Linked DNA regions of Mus musculus: regions 1, 2, 3, 4, 5 and 6 are each reported to be linked to region 7. The links are microRNA targets in miRTarBase. Many come from high-throughput screens and were not tested one by one. Region 7 holds a microRNA gene; each other region holds the end of a gene's coding sequence.

What was found. Region 7 holds the annotated microRNA mmu-miR-290a-5p (ACUCAAACUAUGGGGGCACUUU, at 1,726-1,747, opposite strand). A microRNA usually pairs through its seed, bases 2 to 8, with sites in the 3' UTR of a target mRNA and lowers its output. Matches are read on the target gene's strand: a 7mer-m8 pairs with bases 2 to 8, a 7mer-A1 pairs with bases 2 to 7 and ends in A, and an 8mer does both.
Region 1: the mRNA of Cd93 is a reported target of mmu-miR-290a-5p. Seed matches in the 3' UTR shown: 7mer-A1 at 3,192-3,198.
Region 2: miRTarBase lists Topors as a target of mmu-miR-290a-5p. Seed matches in the 3' UTR shown: 7mer-A1 at 975-981.
Region 3: miRTarBase lists Rasgrp1 as a target of mmu-miR-290a-5p. Seed matches in the 3' UTR shown: 7mer-m8 at 2,309-2,315.
Region 4: miRTarBase lists Gal3st3 as a target of mmu-miR-290a-5p. Seed matches in the 3' UTR shown: 7mer-A1 at 3,766-3,772 and 7mer-A1 at 3,290-3,296.
Region 5: miRTarBase lists Sh2d4a as a target of mmu-miR-290a-5p. Seed matches in the 3' UTR shown: 7mer-A1 at 3,142-3,148.
Region 6: miRTarBase lists Ripor2 as a target of mmu-miR-290a-5p. Seed matches in the 3' UTR shown: 7mer-A1 at 2,994-3,000.

The regions. Positions count from the first base shown.
Region 1 is chr2:148,437,531-148,442,021 of GRCm38, reverse strand. It overlaps Cd93 (CD93 antigen), which reads left to right. Exons shown (of 2, transcript NM_010740.3): 1 at 1-507; 2 at 755-4,491. The coding sequence ends at 779. Among named protein-coding and RNA genes, the nearest start is that of Cd93, 3.8 kb to the left of the region's middle.
Region 2 is chr4:40,256,340-40,260,830 of GRCm38, reverse strand. It overlaps Topors (topoisomerase I binding, arginine/serine-rich), which reads left to right. Exons shown (of 3, transcript NM_134097.3): 3 at 1-1,225. The coding sequence ends at 650. Among named protein-coding and RNA genes, the nearest start is that of Smim27, 11 kb to the left of the region's middle.
Region 3 is chr2:117,278,717-117,283,207 of GRCm38, forward strand. It overlaps Rasgrp1 (RAS guanyl releasing protein 1), which reads right to left. Exons shown (of 17, transcript NM_011246.3): 17 at 1,267-3,960. The coding sequence ends at 3,826. Among named protein-coding and RNA genes, the nearest start is that of Fam98b, 31 kb to the left of the region's middle.
Region 4 is chr19:5,307,364-5,311,854 of GRCm38, reverse strand. Gal3st3 (galactose-3-O-sulfotransferase 3) reads right to left here. Exons shown (of 3, transcript NM_001024717.2): 3 at 3,116-4,491. The coding sequence ends at 3,961. Among named protein-coding and RNA genes, the nearest start is that of Gm42064, 2.5 kb to the right of the region's middle.
Region 5 is chr8:68,346,174-68,350,664 of GRCm38, reverse strand. Sh2d4a (SH2 domain containing 4A) reads right to left here. Exons shown (of 9, transcript NM_028182.1): 9 at 2,961-4,011. The coding sequence ends at 3,919. Among named protein-coding and RNA genes, the nearest start is that of 1700125H03Rik, 20 kb to the left of the region's middle.
Region 6 is chr13:24,730,934-24,735,424 of GRCm38, reverse strand. Ripor2 (RHO family interacting cell polarization regulator 2) reads right to left here. Exons shown (of 23, transcript NM_029679.2): 23 at 1,619-3,840. The coding sequence ends at 3,740. It also overlaps a transcript of Armh2 not described here. Among named protein-coding and RNA genes, the nearest start is that of Armh2, 8.0 kb to the left of the region's middle.
Region 7 is chr7:3,215,895-3,220,385 of GRCm38, reverse strand. It overlaps Mir290a (microRNA 290a), which reads right to left and starts at 1,760; the gene lies at 1,678-1,760. It overlaps Mir290b (microRNA 290b), which reads left to right and starts at 1,691; the gene lies at 1,691-1,748. D7Ertd143e (DNA segment, Chr 7, ERATO Doi 143, expressed) reads right to left here and starts at 1,602. Exons shown (of 1, transcript NR_028425.1): 1 at 1-1,602. It overlaps Mir291a (microRNA 291a), which reads right to left and starts at 1,467; the gene lies at 1,386-1,467. It also overlaps Mir292, Mir292b, Mir291b, Mir293 and a transcript of Nlrp12 not described here.

The DNA of each region.
Region 1 (4,491 bases), not on the chromosome of region 7:
TGTGTTTTCTGAACTACCAGCCAGGCCTCCCCAAAAGGAAGACAACGATGACAGAAAGGAGAGTACTATGCCTCCTACTGAAATGCCCAGTTCTCCTAGTGGCTCTAAGGATGTCTCCAACAGAGCACAGACAACAGGTCTCTTCGTCCAATCAGATATTCCCACTGCCTCTGTTCCACTAGAAATAGAAATCCCTAGTGAAGTATCTGATGTCTGGTTCGAGTTGGGCACATACCTCCCCACGACCTCCGGCCACAGCAAGCCGACACATGAAGATTCTGTGTCTGCACACAGTGACACCGATGGGCAGAACCTGCTTCTGTTTTACATCCTGGGGACGGTGGTGGCCATCTCACTCTTGCTGGTGCTGGCCCTAGGGATTCTCATTTATCATAAACGGAGAGCCAAGAAGGAGGAGATAAAAGAGAAGAAGCCTCAGAATGCAGCCGACAGCTATTCCTGGGTTCCAGAGCGAGCAGAGAGCCAAGCCCCGGAGAATCAGTACAGGTAAAGTGCCATAGGTTACTTGGGTAGCTGGGCAGCCAGATGTAGGCCTGGGAGGCACAGACCACAGAACTGAGAGCAGAGACAAACAGTCAGCAGGCCATTTGTTGTTTAAAGCCAACCTCAGCAGCCCAGTCCAAAAGTGCCTATCTGTCCTATGAGTTCATGTGGAGTAGCGGCAAGGGGACCAAGGATGCAGATATGGCAGAGTTCCATGGCATCTCACACTGTAATCTTCTGTTTTCCACAGCCCAACACCAGGGACAGACTGCTGAAGACTATGTGGCCTTAGAGACAGCTGCCACTACCTTCAGAGCTACCTTCTTAGATGAGGGGGAAGCCACATCATTCTGAATGACTTGACTGGACTCTCAGCAAAAAAATTGTGCACCTTCCACTTAAGAACCTGGTGGCTTGGGATAGGCAGGTATTTTCTTGGTGCCTTTGATATGTCTGGGGGTGAAAGCTGTGTGTTGGTTTGTCATTGTGGGGAGTTTTGTGGATATTGACAGACCTCACTCAAACACCCTTTTCAAATCCAATAGCAACTGGTTCCTCTGGTTCCTAATTAGGGGGAAAGGAGTCAGAGGGGTGGGACAGGGTGGGGGGATGGGGCTTCAAAGTTTTTTCTTATCACTTGATTTATCATCGAAGGAGTTACTGGTGCTAATTACAATGGAAACAGTTCCTTTCCATCACAGGACAGACAGCAAACCAATTTAAAACTACTTAACTAGGTGAGAGTGCTCTACCCTTCCTATAGGGACTTTTTCAGGATGGCTGCCTTTGTGTACATTTGCCTTCTGGCATTTCCCCTTCACGTCCCCCCCCCCCCCCCAGCCCCCTTGGTATTGTTGAAACTGTCAGAATGAGAGGAAGTTCAACCAACTGCTTAGGGAGTAAGCTGGCAGGAAGTTTAGATATTGTATCCCCTCACTCTTAACTTTCTGATAGCCTTGGGTTTATGGGCAAGCAAAGTTACAAGTTGGGAAGTTGCTTCAAGTGAGTGAGAGGTCTTGGTAAAAGCATAATCCAGAGGGGGAGGCAGGAGGGGATTGTTTTAACAGATATTTGAATGAAAATATCAGAATGAACTGATGCTAACACACACCTGATTATTGAGAAACAATAACAAAACTCCTAGATTCATTTGTCTTTGCGCTAGCACAGGCCCCAACTCCACTGCAGGGCACCCTGTCTACCTTTATACTGTCCCTAACTGGAAGCTGGTACTGTAGGCTCAGAAAGCCTTAGGAGGCTTTCATTCTGAACGTAAGGAAAGGATGTGTGAGCCAGGTGATGGGCTCTATTTTAAATGCTCCCATTTAAGTTTACCTTAGTCCACTTCACAGTTAAAAGTACATCTGGAGGACTTGAGCCCTATCTTGTTGGCGTGACACATACCAAACCAAGGATTAGTCATGAAGAAAGTTCTCTCTCTCTCTTTTTTTTTCTTAAAAAAAAAAAAAAGGAGATAGAGGGGAAAGGGAAAGGGGAAGAGAGAACAGCTAAAAAATGTCCAGCCTTTAAAACTGCTTAGAGCCATCTTATGATTGACATGTTTATTTCAAAGTGTCCATTTACAAAAGTGTCCCTTAAACTTGCAAAAGTGTCCCTTAAACTTGCTGACGGTAATGTTGTTTCAGCTGCACAGGTCTGTCTGGGGACTGGAAGGCATCCCTGGTGAGTCACTTCAGTATCTCTGGGAGGCTTCATCTTAGTTGTCTCTGCTGTTTGAAAAGCTGAGACATGGAATGTGTCTCCATCATGAGATTCAGAGTCTTTGTTCTCAGACTAGAGAACTTTGGTTTCTAGGAACAAAGGCACCCATCCCTCAAGTTGATATCCAGGAATCGAACGTTAATAACAAGCAGATTCAAGACCTTTGGAAATATCTTAGAGAAATATATTAGAGAAATACCTTTTTTTGGCCAATTTAAAATGAAGATATTTTTATTAGTCTCTCTCTCTCCTCCCTCTCTCTCTCTCTCTCTTCTCTCTCTCTCTCTCTCTCTCTCTCTCTCTCTCTCTGAAAACACAAGGTGGAGAGTAATGGGAAAAAGATCGGGCTCAGTGGGATGCCTGAAATGAGTGCATTTAAAAATCAACTCAGCATCTGGCTTTCAGTTGAAGTTTGGGTGTTTGGAACAGGATCCCTGGCAATAACTGAGATTGGCAGCTAATCCATTACCAGCAGACCAGCATTACCAGCCTTTCAGATCATTCAGATGAATTTAGAGCCATGGTAGTATCTGCATATACGGACATGACCCTAAAAGCATCACTTTTACCTCCAGGCCTTCAACTGCTCACCTTTATGGCTGGAGATGAGGAAGATAACTGAATCTAGGCTCCCCACAGCTGTGTTTGATCTATGCCCAGGCTGCTGTGTAGGACTTCAACTGACCAGGATGACTTAGGGGATAGACATGAAGCTCCATTTCCAATACTCCTAGGGGTACAGGATCCACTCTGTGGGACCCACAACAGGGAAGGGAATGATGAGGAACATATTTTCTCAAAGTGTGCTTTCAGCATGAGCCACTCCCGTGGAGACAGAGCTCTCTCATCTCCTGACCTGCCAAAGCCTTCAGGAGAACCATACCTCATGTGGCAAAGCCAATGGAGCCACTCACTGTTCCTAAATGGGTGCTTTATTTTCACATATATTCTTTTTTTTTTTTTTTTTTGAGACAGGGTTTCTCTGTATAGCCCTGGCTGTCCTGGAACTCACTCAGTAGACCAGGCTGGCCTCGAACTCAGAAGTCTGCCTGCCTCTGCCTCCCAAGTGCTGGGATTAAAGGTGTGCGCCACCACTGCCCAGCCTCACATATATTCTTGCTGTCCTCATACTTGAGACTGGAAAATTCTGGCTTAGGGCATCTAAGAGGCAAAGCAATAAATAAGTGAACTTCTACTGGACCAAAGGTGTGTTAGGCTATGCCTTCTCTACCCACGACATCAGTGAGCAGAGACAGAACACTCCTCTGCCTGTGAGGACCAGAGGAAGTACTACTTGGCAACAGAATTTTCTTAAGTCCAGACCTGGAAAAACTGTATTTTGGAGGGGCATACCTTCAGGCCTCCAGCCTACCCATTACTGAGTTGTAGGTGGCCATCACTGTCCTTTGTATTTTATGTGGTTCTGGCGATGGTAGCCAGCACATGAGTATGGTAGACACTAGCCTTCCAGGATCCCTATACTCCTAGTACCTTGCATTATTTTTGTTCATTATTAAAGATAGTCAAAAAGCAATACCTCCTCACCCCCAGTAATTTGAGGAGTTAAACAAACAAACAAACAAACAAACTACTCAGAAAGAAGTGCCTGGAGAGAGAGAGAGCCCTAAACACTATTTGCAAAGGAAGTCTAGCCTCAGTTTTCCCTGGTGTCTAGCATGGCTTTGATGCAACCCCAAATGTATGCATTTTCTGGCTTTGGAGACCCACTTATCATTATCATTACTACCATCACCACCACCACTACCACCACCGTCACCATCACTGTCATCACCAGCTCAGGGTGCTACGCATCATCATGGTGTTTTATTAATGACAGTAACTGGATGAATCCCACCTGTCTCTAACTGAGAGCAAAAAGGCCAGACAGAAGAGGAGCAGAAAGAAGAGAAGCGGGCTGCTTTCCTTCAGCTTCATACCCGGGGAAACCGAGTAAGCCTCTGGGAAGGTCTACCCTGATTCCTTCCCCAGAGCACTGGATAATGTGGAATGAAACACAAATACTTTTGAGTACATGTTCACAGTGCAGGGCAAGCTGCCGAGAAAGAACTCTTTACCTCCTCATCAAGTTTTCCTCCTCTTTGAGTTCCTAACCATGAGCCTCGCGTGGACTGTTATCACCAACCAAACTTTCAATAGGTGGATGGGATCACTAGGTCATTTTGTTCTGCCTCTCTTTTCTCATAAATATTTCTGCCCAAACTAAAGGAACAGAGATGAGATTTGACCAAAAAAGGAAAAAAAAAA
Region 2 (4,491 bases), not on the chromosome of region 7:
AAGGGAAGGACAGTCATTACCAAAAATCAAAATTGGATGGCAGTTATAAAAATGAGAGTGACAGCTTTTCAGATAGCAGATCATCAGACAGAGAGACAAAACACAAGAGGAGGAGGAGGAGGACCCGGAGCCTAAGTGTAGAGATAGTTTATGAAGGAAAGGCTACGGACACAAGCAAACACCATAAGAAGAAAAAGAAGAAACATAAGAAGAAGCATAAGAAACACCATGGAGATAATACTTCACGGTCGCCGGTGGTTATAACCATCGACAGTGACAGCGATGGAGAGTCTGAAGTAAAGGCGGGTATTGAATGTAGCAATGGCAGTCTTCCACAGCCTATACAAGATGGAGCATTTGAAACTAAAGATGTTGTCACAATCGAAGATGAGCTTGGTGTCCTGGACAAGGACTGTGACGTTACAGCACTTGCTGATGACTTGAGCACCAGCCAAACTGTGGAGAATTGTGACTCGCCGGCAGTCCCAGTTGAACAAACTCTTGATGTAAGAGAAGAAAGCACCTTTGCCTCTGATTTGGAGAGCCAGTCGAGTAATGTGTCTATTCAGGCTGAACCATCGAGACCAGTGCCATCTCCACGGACCTCACTGTCATCAGTGTCTCCTGGTAGAGACTGTGATGTGTCTTAAGACTGCCAGAGCCCCTCCTCGATAATCCGAGGCTGTGGGGAAAAGGTAAAGAGTCATCTATTGCAGTCTAGATGACTTCCTGGAAAAACTTTGCCTCTTAAAATATCTTAACTGTGTGTGTTAATTTGTAAAATTCATTATTTGTTCAAAAAGTTATGTATGTCCCATTCCCAGATATATGCACTTTTAAGTGAAGAAAATGTTGCTAGCTGTTTATTTAAAACTTGGGAAACTTTTTAAATAAAAATCAAAAAAATTTAGAAGTTATTTCATAAAGCCATATGGTATTGACATATTTTTATGGTAGTATTTTTGAATTTTTTTTTTGAGAGTTATTCTGGAAGTGTGTTACAAGCTAGGAGAATGCTTTTGGACAGTTATTTTTCATAAAAGATTTGTATGATTCAAAACCATTTCTTAGACTGAAGTAAGTCGTTTTAATCTGCACAGGTTATCTTGGCTTCTGCCAAAAGCAAAGTTTAGTATTTTCTTTATATACTTGGTTATCTGGACTGGCAATAAGACAAATGTGTATTCAACAAAAGACAATAAAACTGTACACTCTAAAAAATTCAGACAATTTTCTGTGCAACATTGATTTCTTTAAAGTTTTGCTGGAGCCAAAGGCTTAAAACCTGGGTGAACAGTTAGTTACGGGCCCAGCTTCAGTGGCTGTAGTCTCTCCTCCCCCATAGCTCAGTTCTTTAGTTGCGACGTTGAGGATCTTTCTTACACTCTTCAGGGGAATGGCTTTGGAGCGTTTGGCTTACTACAAACACACAGGAACCCTGGCCAAAACCTGCTTTGGCAATTTTTCTGCACAAAGTGGCTCTTTGTTTTTATTGTTAGCAGAAATAAGATGGCTGTGTATCTAACCTGATAAAGATTGTCAGTGCACAGCAGAGCTTGGACTTACTCCAAACATAAGCCTCAGTTTGCCTTGTTTCCTGTGATTGGTCATTCTTGAGTAGAAATGGGAAGGCTTGCTTCACGGCCAGTATTGGGTTTTAGTGGGAGAGCAGAGCATAGAGAATCATTACCCTCATGGATTTTACCAATAGTTTAGTTAAAACGGTTGTATAAAGAATATATAGTTCTCCGGAGAGCAGTATATATGTGTGGAAATACATCTTACATATAGTGGGAACCTGATCTTCGTGGAAGTAATAGATAGTTGAGTTAGAGTTCAGAAAATAAGTTGACAGCAATAGAATCTGAGAGGCAGAGAATCTGCAGTGATCTAAAGGCAGGAGTGGGGCCTAGCATGTTAGAAGCAGGGTTGTGGAAAGAAAGTGTAGAAACAATTTAGGTAAAAATGTTCAAAATCTGCTTAAAAGGCAATAGAAAATGACTTTCAGACTTTAAAATAGAGTCTAAAATTAAATGTTGACAGTTTGAAGTTCACACAGTGAGAAATAGTGGAAGAACTATGTGATTAAGGAATGGACTTTGTAATTGCAAGAAGCCTTTTTAAGGGTTCTTGACGGGGCGGGGGGGGGGGGGGTTCTCACCCTTTCCATCCAGTTCCTCCCTACCTCTCCTATTTGGAGCCACTCCCTTCTTGTATCATTAGAATTCTAAGGGGTAACAGTAAAACAATAGAGTAAGATAAAACAGAAATAGGCTAGGAAAACCCAAGAGAACACACAAGAAACACTTGTTTGCACACTCAGGAGTTCCATAAATAAACTAAATTAGAAACTGTAACATGTATGCAAAGGACCTGGCGCAAACCCGTGCAAGCTCTCTGCTGCTCCCTCAATCTCTGAGGTGGTAACGGTTTAATCATGTTGGTTTAGATGGCCTTGTCTTGCTGCCCTCCTTCCCCTCTTTCCTCTTCTGCGGTGGTCTGTATCGGGCTGAGCGTGCCAGAGTCTGGCACTCTGCATAACATCTGGTTGCGAATCTGGTTGTTGGGTGTGGTCGGAAGAAGCTTTGGTGATGGCTGGACAGCTTGGGAGTCATTTTTATCACTATATATTTTGTTAAAAGATCATTAGGATTTGGTTTTACCTAAGGTCTCTGGGCTACCCAGTCTTAGGTTCTTGGTATGGTTTCCATCTCGGGTGGGATGGGGAAGGGGTGCTTCAGTCAAACCAGGTGCTGGTTGATTAGTCCCACACGCTTTGTGCCTTCGTAGCAGTAGCATATATTGCAGGGAAGACACCGTTGTCAGAGTTTATGGCTGGTTGGTGCTTACATTTCTCTTGCTAGTATCAGAGTACCTTCCTGAACCAAAGATGCTAGATCATAGGGTTGGAGGCTCTGTGGGCATCACCTCAACTTCTCCATGTTGAGTGGGTCCTTGTCATCATTTTGTGAAGAGCAACTGATTCTAGCAACAGCCTAGGTTTGCAGATTCCCTTTGGCCAACAACTCAATTCGATGTAACCCAATTACTGAAAACCTCATTTGGTGACAGAGATGGCCAGTTGGGGCTCTCTCCCTCCCACTATTTGGATATAGATTGCCTTCATATATGTATATATTTTAGGAAGCTTCTACCGTATTAGGTTTCTATACAACTCTTCAAATGCCCAAATTTTAGTTGGCTCTTCTGTGTTCCTTCATCCTCTCTCTCCCCTGTTCCTCCCCACTTGAACTTCCCATTCCAGCCCCCTTCTCATCCATAAGTATAGTCTAATTCCCTTTCCTATCAAGATTTGTTCCTCCTAATCCTGTACTCTACCTAACCTCTGGTTCTGTGGATTGAAGCATGATTATCACAGCTTAATAGCTAATATCCATACACAAATAAATACCATTCTTGTTTTGGGTGTGGGCTACTGCACTCAGGATGGCTTTTTTTCTAGGCCCATCTGTATACTTGGGAATGTCATGGTTCCAGTTTTATAAAGTGTTTTCTCAGCCATTTGTGTTTCCTCCCTGAGAATTCTGTTTATATCTGTCCCCCATGTTTTAATTGGACGGTTTTCTTGATACCTAGTTTAGTTCTTTCTGTATTTTGGATAACAGTGATACATACTTAGGAAAATCTTCCCCTTCTTAGGCTGCTGCTTTGTGGGAATAATGGTGTTCTTTGCCTTACATTATATTTTCAGTTTTATGAGGTCCCATTTACCGTTGATCTTAGTTCCTATGCTAATGGTGTTCTGTTCAGAAAGTCTTTCCCTCTGCTAGTGAGTTTAAGACTATTCTTTGGTTAGATTTTGAGTTTTGTGCAGGGTGAGAAGTGTGGATCTATTTGGATTCTTCTACATGCAGCCATCCAGTTTGACCAGTACCACTTGTTAAAGATGCTTTCTTTTTTCCAGTGTGTATTTCTGGCTTATTTATAAAAACAAAACAAAAAACCAAAAACAGGTGTCCATAGGTTTGTGAATTTATGTCTGGGTCTTCAGTTTGAGTCCACTGATCAGCATGTCTGTTGTGCCAATAGCAAGCAGTTTTTATTGCTGTAGCTCTATACCACAACTTGAAATCTGGGATGGCGATGACCACCAGGATTGTTTTTGCTATCCTGGGTTATGTGTTTCCATATGAAGCTAAAAATTGACCTTTTAAGACCGGTAAAGAATCATGTTGGAATTTGATGGAGATTGTATTACATCTGTAGATTGCTTTTGGTCGGATGGCCATTCTTACTATACCAATCCTACTGATCCATGAGCATGGGAGAGCTTTGCATCCTCTCTTTAAAATTTCTTCCTTCGGTGTCTTAAAGTTTTTATCATATAATCCTTTCACTTGCTTGGTTAGAGTTACCCCAAGATACTTCCTCCTCCTCCTCCTCCTTCCTTCCTTCCTTCCTTCCTTCCTTCTTCCTTCTTCCTTCTTCTTCTTTCTTCTTTCTTCTTCTTTTCTTTCACGGTCTTTTGGT
Region 3 (4,491 bases), not on the chromosome of region 7:
TTGTTTGTTTTGTCCCTTTTATGAGTGCTGTTGGGGTTTTCCCCAACAACTACTGGAAAGTCTTTCCCCAGTTGAGCACTTCTGGAATTACAGTGGAGTGGAGCCAGTTCTGTATACCCAGCCTGTGAACTTCATTGCAGCAAGAAGATTTGCTCAAAATGTGTTTGCACACTGCTTGCTATGTGATGCCTGGTCTGGCAGTAGGGCGACTTAGGGCTTTTATGGTTCATCACACAAGAACATTATAAATGGATTAGGTAGGGCACATGGACATTTGTGATGGATGGCATTTCACAGTTCCCTGAAGCCTGATACCTTTTTGCATGTTGATTCTATTTTTAATTTCATGGGGTTTTTTTCCTCCTATTTTCTTATACTTACTGTCTTCCCCCTTTTCTATGTCTTTATCCACCTATGAGCATCTGTGGACAAAATCGGACTAGAAATTTCCAAATTAAAGTAGCAACTGAGTTTTTCCCCTGGGCTGAGCGAGCTCAGTACCATCCAACCCCATGAACTGACATCAGAGGGAACTAGGTGTTTCTCATTTACCAGGACTTGTGGCAAACCGTGAGGCTTTGTAGCCAAAACACATAGTGAGTGATATCTGGTTTATCCACTCTGTAACGAAGAGCTTGTGGTGAGATCTGTGAGCTGGGAATGAGGGTGGGCAAGAAGCACTTTCACCTTCTGTTCAGGGTCAGCTTGTCAGAATGACTTCGTTATTTCACCTAAAATAACATTAATTATGGAGATACACCCCATCCCCCAACCCAAATGTACCACAATGTGCAATGTGTGAGTGGCTGGCATCCTCCTCTGCATGGGTCCCATCATCAAAATCTGGATAGGGAGAACAAATGGTGCCTCTGATCACTCCAAAGAGTGACCACAGATGAATTGCTGAGTGGATCGGGACACGAGACTGAACCGTCTTTCTGTCTACTTTGTCTTCTTTCCTTACTGGTTTTCTTAGCTAGAACTGTGGCATTAAGATAAGAGCCACAGGAGATGATAGCTTTGGCCCCTTTAATTGGTGTTGAGCCTTTGACAGACTTGATGTTCAGAGAGGTCATTATAAGGTGGACATATCTGCATTGTTACTTCCTCATCCTGTAAAAAAGGAAGAACATTTTAACCCAAATAAGCTAGGGGTCCCCCCCCAGAAAACCCTTTTTAATAGACTGGAGGAGCATTTTTGGTTTGAATTCCAGTAAAAAGTTTAACAAAATGCCTACATATGTATAAAGTGAAGAAGCACACGACTTTGAAGTTATAGGGATCCAATGTTTTTATGATATAAATATGAGACACAGAAAACATAAAATAGGTATAAAATATCTTACAGTTTGTACAGTTCTTTCGAAGCTTTTACAGTATACATCTTTAGACAATTTCACAAGTGGTCAGTAAATGGGTGAGTCACTCCACAGAGAAGAAGAGCAGAGACATTGCTGTTCACAGACAGGATCAGTCCTTGCTTTGGCAGACACCCATCTGCCCAGACATTTCAAGACAGCCTGGTAAACAAAACCTCATGTGACAGGCCAAACTTTGTTCCAGATTGTATCAGGAGATCCCACCTGCTCCTACCATTCTGCAGGAACAGTACCAACTCAGACTTCACACATCCTTTGTCTTGGCTGGAATGTAAGAATTTGTGAGGAAAACTACTGTCTCCCACTATCTTTCCTGTCCTTTCTGCTGTCTGTAAGGTCATCTAGCTGTGATAAATGACTGAGGCCCTCTGAATTCCTATATTACAGATTATTTACACAAAATCTCACTGGGAGATCTTTATTGGGGATGAGAAATAAGAAAAAGGCATTGTCTAAAGAATCAAGCTCTACACTTGTACTAGTGCATAACAGAGTGAAAATACAAATTTTGAGGTCTTCCATTAGTCCTATCACTCCATAAAAGTTTCCACATAATATAGACACCTGCCAGAGGCGTAGTACCAGGTGCTATGCTTTTCACGTTTCTGAGATGGGATGTAGAAGAAGGATAACTGTGTGTAAAGTAGTTCATTAAAGTTTAGAGAGACACTCACCACAAGCCAGCTCTTTGTCACTGAAATGCTCCAAAGAGGTGTGCAAACAGGCAGTGGTCTTTCATCAAAGGAATATCTTAAATGATTTGAGTCCTTTAGGGGGCAGCACCATGTACAGTTCATATTCCTCTGTAGACTTTATGCTCTTGGTCGTAGGGTTGAAACTTTTAAACACTTTTTCCTTTGATTTTTCCAGACAGAGTTTCTCAGCATATCCCTTGCTGTCCTGGAACTCATTCTGTAGACCAGGCTGGCCTCAAACTCACAGAGATCAGCCTGCCTCTACCCACCGAGTGCTGGGATTAAAGGCATGTGTCCCCATTGCCCAGCTAGGTTTGGAACTTATTTAGTTCGATGAGACTCTTAAATTGCTTGTCTTGCATATTAAATTACAAGTTAGTGTGGTGCCAGACCTTCCTAGCATGGAAACAGTCTCCTCAAAAGGACACAATCAGATGAGATGTTTTTTGAAAGCTAAAAGGAAGCTGACAAGAGAGTTTGTGAATTGCTTCACAGGCAACAAGACAAACCCACTGATTTTAACCTTCACGAAAGAATACTGGGACACTGTTACTCACGGTTTTGTTAAGCAGAACAATTTACATTGTTAGCAGTTTGCCTTATAATGAGCAGAACTATACTTGCAAATTTGTGTAAGTGACTAAAAGGTGTTTGATTCACGTCTGCATTTTCTAAGGGAGAAGGTCCAAGCTCCATGCATGTCTGATACTATATATATACATTCTACACACATGTAAATACTGCCAGCTATGAAAGCCGTCACACCCATTAGCTTATTTGTAGATAATAAAAGTGAAGACAACTTAAGCACAAATTCAGTTCAAAAGAGAACCTTATGATAGATTACTTGAGAGAGAGAGAGAGAGAGAGACTAGAACATGAAGAATTAAACACTGTTCACAGACCATTTCTTTTAAAAAGTCACAGATTCTTAATTCTACCCACTATAGAAAGACTATCTGGATAAACGTGTTATTGTGGTTTGACTTAGCTATTTAGCTGTGTGTATGCCATGGTAATTGCTGTTTGTGGGTAGTGAGTGAGTTTTATTTTGTATTTCATAATGACTAAGACCTAGAGCTATAAGTTGGCCTGCAATTAGACAATGTCAAGTTCAATTAAGAAGCTCTGGATTTAAAACCAGGCTACATCGCTAGGAGTTCACTTCTAGGTAGATGTGCTGATGTGCCTATAAGCAAGGGAGGAAGGAGGCGGGCAAGTGAAGGACAGTGGGGAAAGAGGCTCTTGATGAGGTCTGAGGTAGCGAACACTGTAGGGATCAGTTTCACAAACAATGCAGGCATGTCAAAGTCACCACGCTTAGGCTATTGTTTCCGTTATGAGCGGGGTTTGGGTAGAACAAAGTAAGTCAGTTTGCGGAAGGCAGCAAATGGATTCACCAGGGACTCTTTATCTAAGTATGAATCAGTAAAGCGGGCTGCCTGGGACACCCTCAGGAAACTCTAGACTTATTTTAGCGCATGTTTGGTATTGGTTTCAGTAAAGAAAGAAGGTTAGAATAGGAATGCTCAGACTTTGCATGCTTGAGCTTTTCTTCCCTTTGATTCAACTGACTGAAAACCAACGACTCACATTAAAAACCGTTTAGGTAAAAACCAAGGATGTCAACAGTAGTGGCCAGCTCTACCCTTTTAAAGTCAGTCAATCTAAAGGTGCTGAACGTCTGCAATGAGTTTTGAAGTGAGATCCCAGTATACCCTCCTGCAGATTCTGGTCCTTGAAATTCTGGATTAAGCACTATCACCGTGGTCCATCTGGGCTAAGACATGATTGCTTTTCCCAAGCTGCAGGGATTCTATTTTCTTCTGTGCGTACTTCAGTTGGATCTTCAGAGCATCGTTATCTGCTTTCAGGGTATTTATTTCCTAAAAGGAAATGAGAATAAGGTGTGGTAATAGAGCAGCAGTGAATAGGAAATTAGTGACAGTATCAAGAGCATTATATTTGATTGGCATCTCCTGTTCCCTGTGGTTAAGAATTATAAACTATTTTCAAAGCAGTTATTTAGCTGTGAGTATAAAAGAACACATTAACTATCATGGGCATGCACAAATAGCAATTACTCTTTGTTATCAGATCTCAGATGTGAGTGGCTAGCAGGACAGAACAATCCATTCTTGGGCATTGGGTGGAGGAAGCCACAACTTTTGGGTAGTGTGACGCAGGCATCGTAACTTGACAGAAAGTAGTCTGGTCTGGTCTGTTCTGAACTATGAAAGCAGTGCTTCAAAGCTCTGTGAAGTGAGATGTTACAGTTGATGTAACCTAAGTTCATAACCCCCTGTTACTGATAACTCATACTCCTTTTTGATGGAAGAGTTTTGCCTCATTCCCAAATTGGGATGTAGTGTTGTAATGGCAGTAATTTAATTATATAGCCAGTGGTTGCTTTCCAG
Region 4 (4,491 bases), not on the chromosome of region 7:
CAGAGTGAGCCAAGGAGAGACTGAATGCAGTAACTTGGGCCTGTGGCTGGAAAGTTACTAGATAACATAAAGGGTTGGGAATATCTCCCAATTATTGTGCTTAATGCTTGTTGAATAATCTATAAGTCTCCATCTCAATTACTTGGACACTAGCCAGGTTAGAAAAAACTGCAACCTTTAAATTTCATTCTATAGTCAAAGCCAATTAAGGTTTTACAAAAAGCTTTGGAGAGAGGTGAAAGCTAAGGTTTGAGGGAAGGGAAGGGCGGGTTTAAGAGGGTGCACTTGAGGAAGGGACTCTAGGACCCTTGATCCAAGTAGCTCCAGTGTCAGCTATACCCAGTAGACAGGCTCAATCCCTTAGGTCTCCAGTGCCTTGTAACAAGGTTCCTTATAGATGCATTTTGTTTGCTGCCTAATATGTGGCCTGCTTCTTGACACAGGTAGTTTTGAATCCAGCATTGTTCTTATACTGGATTTGAACCATATAAAAGAGGCCATGTCCAAGGGCCAAGGAGCACAGGAGAGGCCCATCAAGGCAGATACAAAGCATGTCTGAGTTTTCTACACCAACCAAGGGCAGGAGGAAGGATATTCCTTGCAAGTATAGGACCAAGAGAGGTGGTAAAATGGCACTTTCAGGGCCTGGGAGCTGGAGGACACCTGTCTTTAGATAGATGGCCTCAAGTCTAGTACAATTCTTTATTGCTGCTTAGCAGCAGAAACCTAATTACAGCTTTGCATGGCACTAATTATTGCTTCTTTCTGAGCTCTACTGGTACAAAGCGGGTGCTACACAAATCGCCCCATTCAAATTCAGACAGTGCTGAGGTTTTTATCCTTTTTGTCCCCTCTAAACCTTGTGTTGAAATTTGGCCTCTAAGTGAGTTGATTGGAGGCAGGAAGGGCCTGTGAGAAGTAACAGGGTTGGGTGTGTGTTCTTGTTCTTGGGGACTGGATTAATTTCTGTGAGAGTGTGCCATGCTATTTTGTTTCTTTCTCTTTCATGTGCACCTACTTGTCCTTCTGCCATGAGGCCCTCACCAGCTAAGCAGAGACTGGTGCCATGCTCTGAGCCTCCAGAACTCTGAGCCAAAAGAGATTTCTCCCTTCATAAGCTGTGGACTCACAGATATTTTGTTATACTAAGAGTAAACAGAATAATAAGATGGAGTTTCATAAAGCTTGCCAGCCAGCCGCTACAATCTTCCTTGCCCAAACAAGCCAACCATTGTCTCACTGAAAAATAACCTAAGAGCTGATAGCAGCGTCTTACTTTACATTCTTTTGGGAGAAGGTCTGCCTGTGGCATGTGACCTTCTCTCTTTGAATAGCACTAGACACAGCACATGGGAGCAGATACTGAAACTGCAGGGTCTGGGTTCAAATCTTGATGGTATTTTCTAGCTATATGACTGGATCATCATTTAACCTAAGGTATAGTTCCATCATGAGGAAAAGAATGCTTATCTAACAAACTAGTTCAAGCAAAGCTCTACAATAATAGCTGGAACCTAGCAGACCATGTTAGCTATAGTTTTATTGACATACTTGACTAAATATGTCAAGGTAGCTCTCAATTGATAGCTCTGACTAGCCTGGAACTATGTAGACCAGGCTGTCTTCAAATTCAAACACGAATCTGCCTCTGCCTCTGCCTCCCGAGTGCTGGGATAAGGCTTTGTCTGCCATGCCTTGCCTCTCTGCTGGTTTTTGTTTGGTTGTTTTGGGCCTTGGTCCACCTGCTTCTGCCTCCCGAGTGCTGGGACGTGAACTACCATGCCTCGCTCTCTCTGCTATTCTTTAAGGGAGATTTTATTTAGAGAATGGATTGAAGGAGCTGAAGAGTTTGCAACCCCACAGGAAGAACAACAGTATCAACCAACCAGAAGTCCCAGGGTCTAAACCACCATGTAAGGAGGACACATGGAGGGACCCATGGCTACAGCCGTATATGTAGCAGAGGATGGCCTTGTTGGGCATCAATGGGGGGAGAGGCCCTTGGACCCGTGAAGGCTGGATGACCCAGTGTAGCGGAATTTGAGGGCAGGGAGGCAGGAGTGGGTGGGTGGGTGGGGGCACACCCTCATAGAAGGAGGAGGGGGGTAGGAGTTTGGGGGGGGAGAATTGGGAAAGGGGATAAACATTTGAAATGTAAATAAATATCCAATAAAAAAGGGAGATTTTATTTAAAAGTTAAGAGTTTCTCAGGGCAGTGGTGGTGTGCACCTTTAATCCCAGCACACAGGAGACAGAGGCAGGCAAATCTCTGAGTCCAAGGCCATTCAGGTCTACAGAGTGAGTGAGTTCCAGAACAGCTAGAGCTGCACAGAGAAGCCATGTATTAAAAACAAGTCCAGGGGGCTGCTGAGATGGCTCAGCGGTTAAGAGTGCCGCCTGCTCTTCCAAAGGTCCTGAGTTCAAATCCCAACAACCACATGATGGCTCACAACCATTCGTAATGAGATCTGACGCCCTCTTCTGGAGTGTCTGAAGACAGCTACAGTGCACTTACATATAATTAATAAATAAATAAAAAGAAAGAAGACAAGTCCAGCGTATGTAGCTGTGCTAAGGAAACGGGGGAGGGCGGGTTATTATCCAAGTCTCATCTTCTTGTGGGGGGGGAGGGGCGGGTTATTATCCAAGTCTTATCTTCTTGTGGGGGGGTAGGGGCGGGTTATTATCCAAGTCTTATCTTCTTGTGGGGGGGGGGAAATGCCCAGTGGTGAAGTCCAGGCCTCACAGGGGTGTGGGGTAAAACTGGAGTTATGAACCCCTTTACCTGAAAATGACCCTGTTTCCAGCCTGCCAAAGCCATATTGTAGTTGTTCATGGTTTCTAGACTTGCTTCCCTTGTTCATATGCATTCCATTTGATGGGAAATATGGTTGAACTGAATACAAAGATAAATTTTGGCAAATGGATGGAGCTCAAAATGCTATGGGTTGTGTGGCTATGCCAGGTGGAAGGATTGAGGAAGGTGTGGGCCTTTGGAAGAGGCAGCAGAAAACTCGGTCAAGTCTGGGTGGGTCCAGCCACGGTATCTCACTAAGATTTGCCTCATCCTCAAACCTGGGGACTCTGGCTTTCAATAATTGACATACACCCTGCATAATTTAGAGTTGTTTTATTAAAAAAGAATAAAGAGGAAAGAGGCCGGGCAGTGGTGGTGCATGCCTTTAATCCCAGCACTTGGGAGGCAGAGGCAGGCGGATTTCTGAGTTCTAGACCAGCCTGGTCTACAGAGTGAGTTCCAGGACAGCCAGGGCTACACAGAGAAACCCTGTCTCAAAAAAAAAAAAAAAAAAAAAAAGGAAAGAGGAAAAAGAGGGAGGGGAGGGGAAGGGAGAGGGGGAGGAGGAGGAGAGAAGGAGGAGGAGGAGGAGGAGGAGGAGGAGAGGAAGAAGAAGAAGAAGAAGAAGAAGAAGAAGAAGAAGAAGAAGAAGAAGAAGAAGTAGTAGTAGTAGTCAAACAACAAAAAGCCCAACCGAAGAATTCTTGGTTCTGTGTGTCTGGGAGCAGCTTAGGTGTGTGTAGGGAAGGTAGAACCTGGAAGACAATAGGGGACTTAGGCAGCCCTGGGAAGAACAAAAGCCCAGGTGCTGACTGGAAGTACAGCATTTTCCCAGGACTTAGTCCCTCTCTGGGGCTTGTGGTCATCCACTAAACACAAGTGTGGGCTCAACACCCCCAAATGACAGGTGGGGTGCTCAGTCCCCAGAAAAAGGCAGGGTGGGCAGTACTAGAACGCCCTTGGATTCTTCTCAAAGTCACCAACAAGTTGGGAAGGAGTGGGTGGCCCATCAATGCCATCCCAGAAAGTGGGGTTCGAACGGGCGACACTAGGATGGCAGGCTCAGATGCAGACGCACCTCCATTTGGACACAGGGCTCAAGGCCGTGGGGAATAAAAGGGCCCTAATGGAGCAAGACCTGAGTTCCTGGAGGCAGGCGGATCTCAGGTACCCTGGGGGATACGGGGCAGTGCTCTTATGGGCCGAGGGGGAGGATTATCCAGGACAGATTCTGGCCTGGACCGCACACCACCGCGGCGTTTTTGCTTCCTCAACAGATAGTTTGAGTACTGCACCTCGGGCATAGCAAGCTTGAGGCAAGCCTCCGTAGTAGGGCCAGCGCCGCCGCTAGGCAGATCATAGCCCATGATGTCCACTTTGCGGCTAGGCTGCCACGGCTGCAGCTGCTTTGTACGAATCTGGGCAGCGGGTCGCAGCACCGGCTCGTCGCCAAAGCAACGACGCAGCAGACGCTGGCGGGCCTCGCGCAGCTCGCGCGCTTCGCGCTCCACGCATGCGCGGCCCGCGCGCGCCACGCGACGCCAGAAGGTGGCGTTGAAATGGTCGTAGAGGCCCGCATCGAGCGCGTTCCAGGTGCGCGCGGCCCGCGCCAGCGCCTCGGGGATGGTGGCCAGGCGCGACGAGGCAGCGCGCGCGTTGAGCTTGGCGTAGAGCACGTCGTCCAGGTCCCAGGC
Region 5 (4,491 bases), not on the chromosome of region 7:
TAGGCCACAAAGCATTACTTACTGTCCTCTGCTTCAGTTCCTGCCTTGACTTCTTTCAGCAATTGATTATTATTTGGATGTGTAAACAAAGTAAATCTTTTTCTCCTCCAAGTTGCTTTTGGTCTTGGTGTTATCGCACCAATAGAAAGCAGACTAGAATAATGACTAGTGGTCTCTTTGGTCATTTTTGGTCTTGATTGTTCCGGTGTTCTTCCTTAGCCTGGATAAGATTTGACTAACACTTCTTGGCCTGGCTTGCCATGTCCATAAAAGTCTGAGATGTCTGTAGCCTGGAGTTTCCAGACTCTTACTGGCAAGAATCGCTGGGCCCGTGGTGGTACACCCTTTAATCCCAGCACTTGGGAGGCAGAGGCAGGCGGATTTCTGAGTTCAAGGCCAGCCTGGTCTACAAAGTGAGTTCCAGGACAGCCAGGGCTATACAGAGAAACCCTGTCTTGAAAAAAAAAAAAAAAGAAAGAAAGAAAGAAGGAAAGAAAAAGGAAAAGAAAGAGAAAGAAAGAAGGAAAGAAAGAAAGAAAGAAAGAAAGAAAGAAAGGAAGGAAGGAAGAAAGGAAGAAAGAAAGAAAGAGAGAAAGAAAGAAAGAAAGAAAGAAAGAAAGAAAGAAAGAAAGAAAGAAAGAAGCAAACAAACAAGAATCAATGTGGGCAGGGACTAGCACTTGGCTTCAGCCCAACACACAAGTGTCCCTCAGAATTTCAAATATTCCTCCTGGCCATTGTATCACTGAGCACTAGACAGTTTATTCCTCTGCATGTTTAGAACCTGTAAGATAAAACACTACAGAAGTCAAGGGTACTCCTCTTGGTAATATATCAGGTTAACTGGATTGAGATGTTTCTTAATCTTCTTTCAGTCGCTAAACACAGATACATTTGGACACAGCCATAATTATTGCCTACAATACAATTTTAGGCAGAGGATGATGCTGGTATCTCAAATGTCTTCAAAATTATCAGTGATTAAAGGATACTTTTGACTTATTCCACTGAGTAACAGAACGCAGATCTGTATGCTTTCAGAGCTAGAGGAACAATAAAGGTCCTTCAGTTAAAAGACCATTCCTGTGCAGTAAAACTGAGGATTGAATAGTGTGGTGGTTGACTGTGCTTGGCCCATGGTCTTATTGGAATAGGTGTGGTCTTGTTGGAGGAAGTGTGTCACTATGCGGGTGGGCTTTGAGGCTTCTATGCTCAGGCTCTGCCAAATAAGGAATGAGAGCTTCCTCTCTGACTTACTGTGGAGGAAAGTGCCCTTCTGCCAGTGATTCCTGCCATGATGATAATAGACTGCACCTCTGAAACTGTAAGCCAGCCCCAGTAAAGTGTTGTCCTTTATAAGAGTTGCCATCGTCATGATGTCTCTTCACAGAAGTGAAGAAACCCAAACTAAGACGGATAGTGTGATGCTTCATCTTGTCAATTTGATTGGATTTAGGTTCGCTGTGGGAAAACACCTCTGGATATGCTTGTGAAAGTGTTTCCAGAAGGAATTAGCCAAAGAGGGAAACCCTACCCTGAATGTGGGCAATGCTATTCCATGGGCTGGGATCGCAGACTGAATAAAAAGGAGAGAGCTGTCATCTCTCTCTACTTCCTAAATATGGGTTCTATGTGACTAGCTGCCGCACCACCTCCCACGGTCCCTTCCCATGTGATGGACCACGAGTTCACACCATGAGCCAAAGTCAACCCTTCCTTCCTTAAGTTGCTTTTGTCAGGTACTTTTGTCACTGCAGTGAGGAAAGTAACTAACATAGTTAGGTAAAGTGCCTATTCAAAATAATTAGGGAAAAGTGGAGAGAGATGGGAACAGCTCAGAGATTCTGAGCCATGTTACAACAAAGTGAAATGGCAGAGACTCATAGAAATTTAACAATACAATGGAATATTTCAAGAAGCAATTGACTGAGTGCACATTAGCCTCTACTTTGGTACACTGTGTTTGGAATGAGTGAGTCACACAAAGGACAGACTGCAGTGCCATCTACATTAGTTAAAAGACAAAGTAAAAAGAAATGCTTAGCTATGGGCAAAGTAACTTCCTCCCAGGCAAAAGTGACTCACAGATGCCCTCCCTGCTCAGCAGAGGTTGGCCTCCCCTCACTGAGGCTGGTCTAGGAATGGATTTAGAGGTTTTGATTTAAGGATGATGCAGGTAGGAGATTACTTGCTGAATAAATCTGTGTCCCAGGGCTAGCCAGCATTACTCGGGGTCTTATTCCTATATCCTACTTTTATTTCCTCTTGAGGGTGCACACTGTGCAGCAAGAAACAAATCCATGCAACTCGTGCAGGACACATGGTTACATAAACTATTGCACTAGTTTTCTGAGGCTGCTGTAAAAAGTTGCCATCTATTCGGTGATTTCGAGGTTTATTATCTCACATTTCTAAATCCCTGAAGGCTTAAATAAAGATGCAAATGAACAAAGCCATGCTTCCTAATAGAGTCCTAGGGAGAGTCTGGGCCTGGGCCGTACTGCCTTTCATAATCCCCGCCATACCCTGCCCTACACCACTCTACTCTCTGTTTCTGTGGTCCTTTAACCTCCATCCTCATGTTTGTCTTTTTTCTTTATCTTTCTCCCTTATACAGATGCAACTCATTAGATTTGGAGCCTATCTTACTTATCTTTTCTGCACAGATCCTATTTCTCTATCAGTTCATACTCAGATACAGAAGGGTCAGGACTTCATGTATATTTGGTGTGGGACACAATTCATCCCTCAATAGGTGGTATCCAAACCACTCACTTATTCAGTTCTTCTCTTGGAATCAGGACCACACAAGTCCTTACATGGCCACGCACAGTATCTTTTATATTTACTTTCAGATGGGGGGGGGGGGGAGTAGAGAAGAATGAAGAAACAAACCCTAAGATTACTCACGCGTCTTAGTTAGGGTTTCCAATGCTGTGAAGAGACACCATGACCAAGGCAACTCTTTAAAGAAAAACATTTAATTGGGGCTGGCTTACAGCTTCAGAGTTTCAGTCCTTTATAATCAAGGCAGGAGCGCGGCATTTTCCAGACAGGAATGGCAGAGGAGGAGCTGAGAGTTCTGCATCTTCTTCCGAAGGGAACCAGAAGACTGAATCTCTCAGGCAGCTAGGAGGAGGGTCTCAAAGCCCACCCCCACAGTGACACACTTCTTCCAACAAAGCCACACCTCCTCCAACAAGGCCACACCTCCTAATACTACCACTCCCTGTGGGCCAAGCATATTCAAACCATCACACTCAGGGTTACTGTCACAATAAAACCTTTGGTTGGTTGGTTGGTTTTTTTCATATGTGGTAAGTCTCTCATCTCAAGTTTTGAAACTTGTCTTTCAATTTACACTTGGGTCTTTCTCTTCTGTCTTCTATAACCTCACTCCAACAGACACAGAAAGGGTGGTCTTTTGAAGATAATCTCATCCCTCAGTGGGGACATTTTTCCACCATTCTAAAAGCAAGATAAAAATTTATACACACAGAATACTGAGACCTTTGAGTGAATAACAAAAAGGGAGTGTGTAGATCATGAAATTGTTCACTTGTTCTTTTAAAATAACATCTTAATTGCTAAAAAGATTTCAGTGTACCCTTGTCCTTTTTATCTTATATACATCATCATGGTCATATCCTTCAAGGTCCTATCCTTCATATTAGGATGTTGCAAATGTGGGTACCTTCCCCCTTTTCCTTTCAGAATGAGGATGAGAGAGAGGTAACACCCCCTTAAACTGAATCCAGCATTTATGCAGAAGAGAGGTTTCAATGAAGACCTCAGACGTTGTTCACTGTTGGCTCTGTCACAGAGAGATTTTGGCATCACACACAAATGTCCATCTCAGAGGTGTCTGTCCAGAGGGGAAACCAGCTGGAAGTTGGAGGCTGATCTGGATGAGAGTTGTCACTGGAAGAGCTCCAGGTAGTCGGGCAGCTTGTCTTGTTGACCACAGGGGTACAGAAGGAGTTCCTTCCCCAGAGAGGTTATGGGCTCCTCCTGTCAATCAAAGCACAGGGCCATGAGGCAGCTATGTGGTAGACGTTCATGCTGCTCCTTAGGGGAGATCACTCCTCTACCCTGGGTTTATGCATACCTAGATTGGCTTATGACAATACTAAAAGAGATTTCCCTCCTTTCAGTTTCCCTGTCCTACTGAAGCCCAAGTTCTAGCATAGGAACACCCTCAGATATGCTCAGAATATACATCTCTAGTATTCTCAGCTCCCGTGGGATATCTCTGAGTATGCCAGGTGGATATGAGAAAGGAAATACAATTAAAACCCCTTGTTACCAGCAGAAATTATGTGCTACCACCATCCCTTTGCTCAAGGGTACTTGAGCTATATCCCTAGTCAGGCCTTTCTTTGTTATATATTTATTTTCTTTGTTTGTTTCTTTGTTATATATCTATATTCTTTGTTATATATCTATAGGACAATAATTCCTAGTGTGAATTAAACATATGATTGGATTCAC
Region 6 (4,491 bases), not on the chromosome of region 7:
GTCCTAATTAGCTGGTCAGCCTTTGACGGATGTTTAACGTGCAGTGCAGCTTCTTTTCTGGGAACCTCCATTCTCACTCTCCTCATAAAATAGACATTGAGATAACAAAGCATGAGTATTATAATCATAACTTTTTGGCTTATTAGTCGCATTCTTCAGTGTCAGCCACAAAAAAACAGTGAGCTCATACATAGCTGCAGGAAGGGCTGCTTGGTGGTCAGCTCCAAATCCAAACTACAGTGGTACATTCCCATTCCAGAAGGGAGGACTATGGTACCAAAAGGAAGGATCAAAGGTGAAGGTAAAACCCCCGCAGAGAAAACATGAGGTCTTCCAGCTTCGTGGCCAACATACAGGACACAGCGATGTGGGCTCCAAAAAAAGCCTTGCCAACCAGGTGGCTGCTCCCTCAGCCTGGCTCTGCCTACTGCTTGCGGCTTCTTGGGCAGACACGACACAGTCAGGTCATAACTTCTTCCTCTGCAGACTTTGGATTCATTCGGTGCAGTTTCATGAGGTGTCATCCTCGGGTGGGGTGGAGTGGGGTGGAGTGGGGTGGGTGGGTACCCCTCGCAGGACTCCTACACTGCCACACATGCATGCTTCAGTTTTTTTCTTCTGAAATCTCAATGGAAGCTCCCGCTGAGGTCATTCTCTGCTGCATAATGAGTTCAAGGGCAGCCTCAGCTATAAAGACCTTGTCTCAAACCAGGGTAGGGTGGGCAGGGAACAGGCTGGAGAGGTGGCTCAGCTGTTAAGAGCGCTTGCTTTGGATCCCAGGTGGGCACTGTATATTTGCCTATAACCTCAGGTCTGAGGAGGGGTGAGGAGACAGGGATTGCTGGGTCTCGTTAGATCCTAGGTTAGACAAATGATCAAAACCCTGGATTCAGAGAGAGCCTCAAAAGAATAGGCAGTGAGGGACAGAGGACATCTGACTTCTCCTGGCTTTCATGTGTGTACAAGTGCAAAGCCCAACATACACATGTACATATTCACACACATATGCAACTAAATCAAGACATTTTTTTAAAAATTGGGAGAAGAAACTCCGAGTGTATTCAGTGAACCTATATTGGGTATAGATGAGAGGCAAAGACCAATACAAAGTGGGCAGAGGCCTAGCTAGAACGTTCACTAAGTAAAGACCTTGATACTTACTGGAAGGCTGGTTTTGGTGGGATAGCATCACTCAGGCAAGGCAGGAAGGCTGCTGGCTCAGTCTGAAGGTGTTTTAAGTGGTTGCTTTCCTCCTGTGGACTCCAGTCTGCTACTTTGTCGGGATACAAAATTCCCTTATGCTTTTCACTTCAGGATAGAAGCTCTAGTAGACAATGAGGAGTAGTGTGTTGTATAAATACTAACTCTGGAAGGGACTGGAAAACAGAGAAGGACCATGAGGTGGCTCGGTGAGTGAGGCCCTTGCTGTATAAACCTGAAAACAATCTGAGCTTGATTCTGGGGTCCCACGTAACGGTGGAAGGAAAGAATGGACACCACAGGGTTGTCCTCTGACCTCCACAGGTGCACCATGTATACCCCTCCCCCACCACATTATACACACACATAGTAACAGATAAAAATGATAAATAAATATATATCAGATTCTACACTAGACTAGTAATTAAAAATAATTTTTATTTTGACTTACATGATTGAAAGAGGGATGAATACAAATATCACAAACCTAAAAGCACTTCCCAACCAAAAGCCAGACACAGAGGTGGATACAAAAGATGTGAAATTAATTATCCATGCAATATTCAAAACTGTTTCAAATCCACAAATAAACCAAACAAAAGCCCTGTAATAGCTGTGATTTCACTTTCTACAAAAGAGACATTTCAACCATTTAACAAAGACTGTAGCCTATACATACTATAACTGTACAACATACTTTTAAAATGAGGGATATATGCATATATATAACATTTACAAAAATACAGATATGTACAGTGGGACTTCACAGTTGAAAGGATGTGTTGCAAGAAGCCCAGCGAACAATTTTCACTTTAAAATGAAAGGAACTTTTAAAAGTCTTGCTGAAATGTAAATATTGGAACTAATATCTAATTGGTATTTTATACAAACACATCCAGAATACAGTTCACATTGCACCCACACATATTATTGTGATGTCTTGGCATCCCCACTCCTTGCACACGTTGTAAGAGACTGAATCTCTACCCTGGTACTGAGCTGCTGTGGAAACTATGGGGCAGTTTCCATCTCTCAGGGCATCCTGCTTCCAAGGTTCATGGCTATTCTATAGAAGCAGGAACCACTTTCAGTACCTCAATATTCTGTCCAGTGTCAAATTCTACGGTAAGGTAAGATGGACTTTGAAGTGCTGTCAGTCACAACTACAATGTAGTCCAGTGACTTAGGATTCATCCAAAGTCCAGGTTTTCACTTAAAAGAGAAATACATCTTTCTGAATCTACAACTTAGGCGTGTGTATTTGTCTTAGAAAAAAAAATTACACATGTAGAACCAGGCCTAGTGGCTTGTGCCTATAACCCCAGCTCTGGAGGCAGAGGCTGGAGAACCCTTGCAAGTTCGAGGTCAGGCTGGACTGTATATTGAGTTCCAGGTTGGTCAGGACTACAATAGGAAGACTCTGTTTCAAGACAAAACAAAAGCCAAACAACAAAAAACCAAGAGTGTGATAAAGATGGCTCTGGTTAAAGAACGAAAGCTTAAGGTTTTGCTTACTTTTAATAGTATAGGCACAACCTCAACGAAGCAGAATTCTTCCGTTCCTCTCTTAAACCACATGGATAGATGATATGGGATTCTCAGGATGGAAATAGAAACAAATAGTAGGAACTATAAAAAACTAAGCTATAAAACTTAGGTCCCAGCCGGGCGTGGTGGCGCATGCCTTTGATCCCAGCACTTGGGAGGCAGAGGCAGGCAGATTTCTGAGTTCGAGGCCAGCCTGGTCTACAGAGTGAGTTCCAGGACAGCCAGGGCTACACAGAGAAACCCTGTCTCAAAAAACCAAAAAAGCAAAAACAAAAACAAAAACAGAAAACTTAGGTCTCCTCAACCCCCATAGCTTCATGTATCCCAGGTTGCCCTGGGAACTCCCTAGGTAGCTGAAGATGACCTTGAACTTCTTCTGATCCTTCTTCTCTTCTGAGCACTGATTTTATATGCGCAGCATAGCCAGCTTGTGCAGTGCTGGGGATAGACCCAAGCTTCCTGCTCCCTAGGCTAGCACTCTACCAAGGGAGCCACACCCTCAGCTCCAAAACTTACTGTCTTATAGCTGATCACTTTTGCCAGGCTCTGTAAAAATAAAAAAAAAAAACAACAACTTTTATTTGCAGTACATTCCTTTTGTGCTTTGTCTGTTTAATAAAATTCGGTAACTAAGGGGCCACTCAACCCTGAGAACACAGCAGAAAGACGGCAAGGCATACGATATGTATGTATCCAAATAGCACATGAAGAATTCAAGCTTACAGATGAACTTCCACAAAGGCATAAAGATGACTACTTTCAAACTCTACTTTGAAGTGCTGTCAGTCAAAACTACGATGCAGTCCAGGGAGTTATACACAGCCCTGTTCTGTGGGCTAAGGAAAAGTAGACAGTACAGTGCAATTGGACTTGGACATCTCCGTCTTGGCAGCGGCAGCAGCTCTCTGCTGTCTGGCCACATCACAGCACCCTCTTGAGAACAGGGGCCAGGTATCATCGGAATAGCAGTCAGGCAGGGTTAACGTGAAATTTAAAAGGCTGTGGCAACTTCGGTTCCATGACGACCTCCCACTTTAACACAATCTCGAGGGAATTTGTCTAATTGCTCGTACGCCAGTCGCCCGTCTTCTCCTGGATAGGGAACATTAAACACGACTACATTACATATGCATCACACAGAATGAAATGGAACTGTGCTATGGAAACTTTCTGCACAGTTCCTGGGGATTGAACCCAGACCCTCATGTATGTTAGACCAAACACTTTCCCACTGAGCTGCACCTTCAGCGTTGCATTGCTGTCTTAGCTAGTTACTATGTTAAGGAAAAGTGATTTTCCATTATTCTTCACTAGATTATGGGTTTCTAGGCAACGCTTAGAACCACCAAGAACCTTTGAGTTAACATTAGAGACCAGATGAAAGGCAAGGCACAAAACAAAGTACAAGCCTGTGCCAACTGCTTCCAAGTGTACATGCCAGGTTAATTTTTATTTAGTGTTTTAGGGACTTTAGTAAGGCTTAATCCTTGACCTCATTGTATTGAATCTTTATGTAACTTGAATACAGTCTATATTGGTTTAGTTACATTATATCATATACACACAACATTTTACATCCTATCATTATGTACATCCATGTGACTAATGGTAAAAGTTAGGCTTTCAAGTTTCCGCTATAGTCTTTACCCCCTGTAGTGGCTATTCCTGGTTGTCAAATGGACTATATGTGGAATGAACTACAATCCAGAATTGGAAGGCTCATCTGTGATCCTGATCTTGAGG
Region 7 (4,491 bases):
ACAAAGAACAAAATGTCACACAGTTTGAGTACCACAGATTGAAGCATTTCCACAGGGACCTGCTGTGGTAATAAACCTGAAACTTTATAGTCAGTTCTTAGCCAGACCAGCCAGCCAGGCAGGTTGAAGGCAAGTAAGTACCCCAGGCTAGGCAGGATTACATTCAACTCAACTGGAACACCTGAAAAACAAAGAGAATCCATGAAGATTATGCTTAGGGCACACAATGTAACACCTGTAATCCCAGCCCTCATGAGCCTGGGCTATTGTAAAGCCAAAAGGTATTATGGGTATTATCTACCCGGCTGTCCACCAAGCTTGTTTGTGCTAGGAGCCAGGTTAAAGTCAGCTACAGCCAGCAGGTCCTAAAAATTCAATCCAACCATATCAAGACTCACAACCATCAGTCCAACTACAGTAGTCAAGCAAGATATAGCAACTACAGTAGTCAAGCAAGATATATAGGATCTTTTAATCCCAGGTGGATGGAGCTGAGGCCAGGCTGGTCTACAAGTGAGTTAGCTCCAGGACAGCCAGGGCTACAGAGAAACCCTGTTTGGAGAAAAAGGAAAAAAATTGAAAGAGGACTTAATATGGCGGCCACGTGAGATTTAAAAGTAGGCCTTTCTTTACTCAGACCTGAGGCTTAGACTCACCACCCCTGGACCTGGAGTGCCTCCTTCCACCCTGCCCTGCTTCCTCCTCACCTCCAGCCTTGCAGCTCGAGTAGCCAGTGGCAACGAATTCACCTCCAGCACACATACCTGTTTCAAGCAGGTAAGCGATTCCAGGTTGCAGCTGCAGCCGGCTTTTCAGACGCCATGTACACACAGAGACAAACAAAATGGATGCACTTTCCCGCCAAGCCGCGGAGAGGGCCTCCACTTTGATCGACACTGTATGTTCCAACTTCCAAGACCTGAGGCTCAGCTCCTCCGAGCGAGGCCCATGTGGGATCCCGGCTCCTTTATGAACGCGGAAAGCCTTTAGTACCGCATGCGCCCAAGTGTTCGGACTCAAACCCACATGTGACACCCACCTGCCCAGAAATGCAACCCCAGTGAAAACATGACCCACTAAAACTTAATTCTTAGTTCTTAGCCGTTTTGAGTTCTCAACCGGTGACACTCAAAACCTGGCGGCACTTTTCTTCCGATGAAAATCCAAAAGAGCCCCCAGTTTGAGTATCACAGGCTGGAGGTCAAGCTTAAGAACAATCTACAATGCACCTGGACTCACGACTGCCTTACATCCATCCGCGTCTCGTGGCACCCAACTGAACCGCCCTCTTTAGGATAGGACCCATTAAACTCCAAGCCTAAACCCCCACACAGGTTGTCCGCTCCTGTAAACCGATGCGTCAGATGCAAAGCTATGATGTTTTCCCCATGCAGTGGCACACAAAGTGGAAGCACTTTCTCATTCAGGCTCAAGAGAGGGCCTCCACTTTGATGGCCGCTACATAGGTGTAACAGCTCCAAGCAGCGACAGGACGCACATGGAGCCCCCAGGTACCCTACAACGACCACCTCAGTTACCGTCTACTGGGCAGGATGCCCATCCCTAGCCTTTCGCTATACTCAGTCTCATTCCTTTCTTCGAATCCGTACTCACCACGCTGCAGTTAACCCGGAACACGTGGCACCAGGGCTGGTAAATGTGCCAGATAGCCGTTTTCTCAACCGGCGGGGCTTAAAACTAGGCGGCACTTTTTAAAGAAAAAAAAAAGTGCCCCCATAGTTTGAGTACCGCAAGATGAGGCGGTCCAGACGTTAAAACATTTACCAGGAGGAAAGAACGTGGAGAACTTAAAATTCACTCCAACCTGAAGGAAACCTGGATGAAATCAAGGAAGAGTTAGTACATCGGTCTAACTCAAGGTATAGTGAAACTCAAAATTTCTACAATGAAACCACGTAGTTAATGAAATGTACTGCATAGACTCCCTAGACCTGCCCTCAGTAACTCCTAGCTTTGGTTTCTGGTCCCCAAACTTCACTCGCGCCCAGACTACTCACTTTCCCCACATAGGCTCGTTCCTCCCTTGAAATTATGTAGACCAAGTCAGAAAAAAAAGCCCAACTCTTTTTCCACACACATTAGTTCTAAATGTCTTCTTTGGAGACCAGACCAACCTCAGATGGGCCTGCCTCTGCCTCGGGATTAGTAAACCCAGCCAAACCGTGGGGGCGAGCGAGGAAGGCTGAGTTCGCGGCTAGCCTGCCTTTTAAAAAAGGGGCTCTAGTTTTTAAAAAGTAGAATGAAGATGGCCGTGATGACCTTTAATCTGGAGGCAGAGAGGCAGGCAGAAATGAGAGTTAAAGGCCAGCCTGGCTAGTCATCTCCAAAGTTGAAGCAGGAAGATCTCTCTTCTGGAAATCCTGGATCTACTTTCGCCTCTCTAAACCAGGTAGATTAAAACCACAGAACTGAAGGAAATAAAAAATCTGAAACTAAAAATATTACCTTTGCCTATGTGAGAAGCAGCACGCCGGAGGTATCCCTGAAGACCGCAGAGACCAGCATTCCCGATGTGGAGTAGAAGTCTCTGAGAGGCGTGGGGGAGGCTCTAGGTTCTTATATAGTCTGAAGGCTCATTGGCCCCCTGGACTGGGAGGCTCTGATACCCCTCCCCCACCCCGGAGAATCCTTACTCTACCACCCTGCTTCCTCTGAGCTGAGTTTCCCTGCGGCAGAGTGACCTTCACTGGTTTCTTCTCCCCCCCACCCCCCAGAGGAAACAGATTTCTTTGTTTGTTTCTAGAAGCAGCGCCTTTAATCCTATAGTTTTCTAGGCCGAGGCTGGAGGATCTTTGTTAGTTCAAGGCCAGCTTGGTCTACTATGGTGACTAGGCACGGGACTAGGCAGGGCTACATTCAGTATTAAGATAATAATAAAAATAAATAAAGGAAGAATGTGGGAGGTTCAGTTTATTCTTTCGTTTGAATTTTTTTTAAATCCAGAGTTTCAAATCCTCCCTCTTTTTTACCTTTCTTTCTTTCTTTCTTTCTTTCTTTCTTTCTTTCTTTCTTTCTTTCTTTCTTTCTTTCTTTCTTTCTTTCTTTCTTTCTTTCTTTCCCACACTGAATATGAAGGTCCAAGAACAATATGATAGAGTTAGTTTTCTCCTATGCTTAAATATGTTTTTTTTGGGGGGGAGGGGGTTCAAGACAGGGTTTCTCTGTGTAGCCCTGGCTGTCCTGGAACTCACTCTGTAGACCAGGCTGGCCTTGAACTCAGAAATCCGCCTGCCTCTGCCTCCCAAATGCTGGGATTAAAGGCGTGTGCCACCATGCCCGGCTGTTTTTCTTTTGTTATTATTATTGTTGTTGTTATTATTATTTATTAAATATCTTTAAATAGCTCCATGGATTGAAATTAGGTCTCCAGGCGGCAGGGCTAAAGCTACAGAGGCATATTGCAGACTTGGAGTTTAGGGTTTGTTTGTTTGTTTGTTTGTTTTTTGGAGACAAGGCTCAAGTACGCCAAGCTGGCCATAAGCTCATTAAATAGCCAAGAATAATTTAGGACTCCTAAGTCTACACCTTGTGTGTGTGTGTGTGTGTGTGTGTGTGTGTGTGTGTGTGTGTAATGGAACATTTTTAAAAAATTAATTTAATTTTTAAAAATGTATTCACCCTACATCCTACTCACTGCCCCCCTCCAGGTCACCTCCTTCTACAATCCTTCCCCCAACCCCAGTCTTCTCCTCTGAGTCGCCCCCCCCCCCCCAGCACTTCCAGTCTGTGGGGCTAGGTGCTTCCTCTCCCACTGAGGCCAGACAAAGCAGCCCAGTTTGACCATCATAACTCCGGGACAGGCAACTGCTTTTGGGATAGCCTCTGCTCCAGCTGTTTAGGACTCACATGAAGGTCAAGCTACACCTCGGCTACATGTGAGCAAAGAGGCCTAGGTCCAGCCCATGTGTGTTCTTTGGTTAGTGGGGACTCATAAGTCTTTGTCTCCAATCTTCCAAGGGCTGGAATAGGCATATACCAGTATGCCCAGTTCAGTCATTAATTCCAGGCATATTTAATATACTTTAGATGTCTTGTTAATTGAACAAACAAGCCTCACCAGCAATTTGCTAGGTCTTAGGCTTGGGGAAGCAGATAGAGATATGGGTTTGGTCAAGTATAATGGCACATTCTTTTAATTCCAGCAATGGGTAGGCCAAGCAGCTACAAGTGAAACTGTGCCTCAAACAGCAGCAACAAGAAGGATAATTCTTTCTTTCTTTCTTTCTTTCTTTCTTTCTTTCTTTCTTTCTTTCTTTCTTTCTTTCTCTCTCTCTCTCTTTCTCTCTCTCTCTCTCTTCCTTCCTTCCTTCCTTCCTTCCTTTCTTTCTTTCTTTCTCTCTCTCTTCCTTCCTTTCTTTCTTTCTTCCTTTCTCTCTCTCTCTCTCTCTCTCTCTCTCTCTCTCTCTCTCTCTCTCTCTCTCTTTCTCTCTTTCTTTCTTTCTTTCTGACTGGATCTTTCTAGGCTAGGAT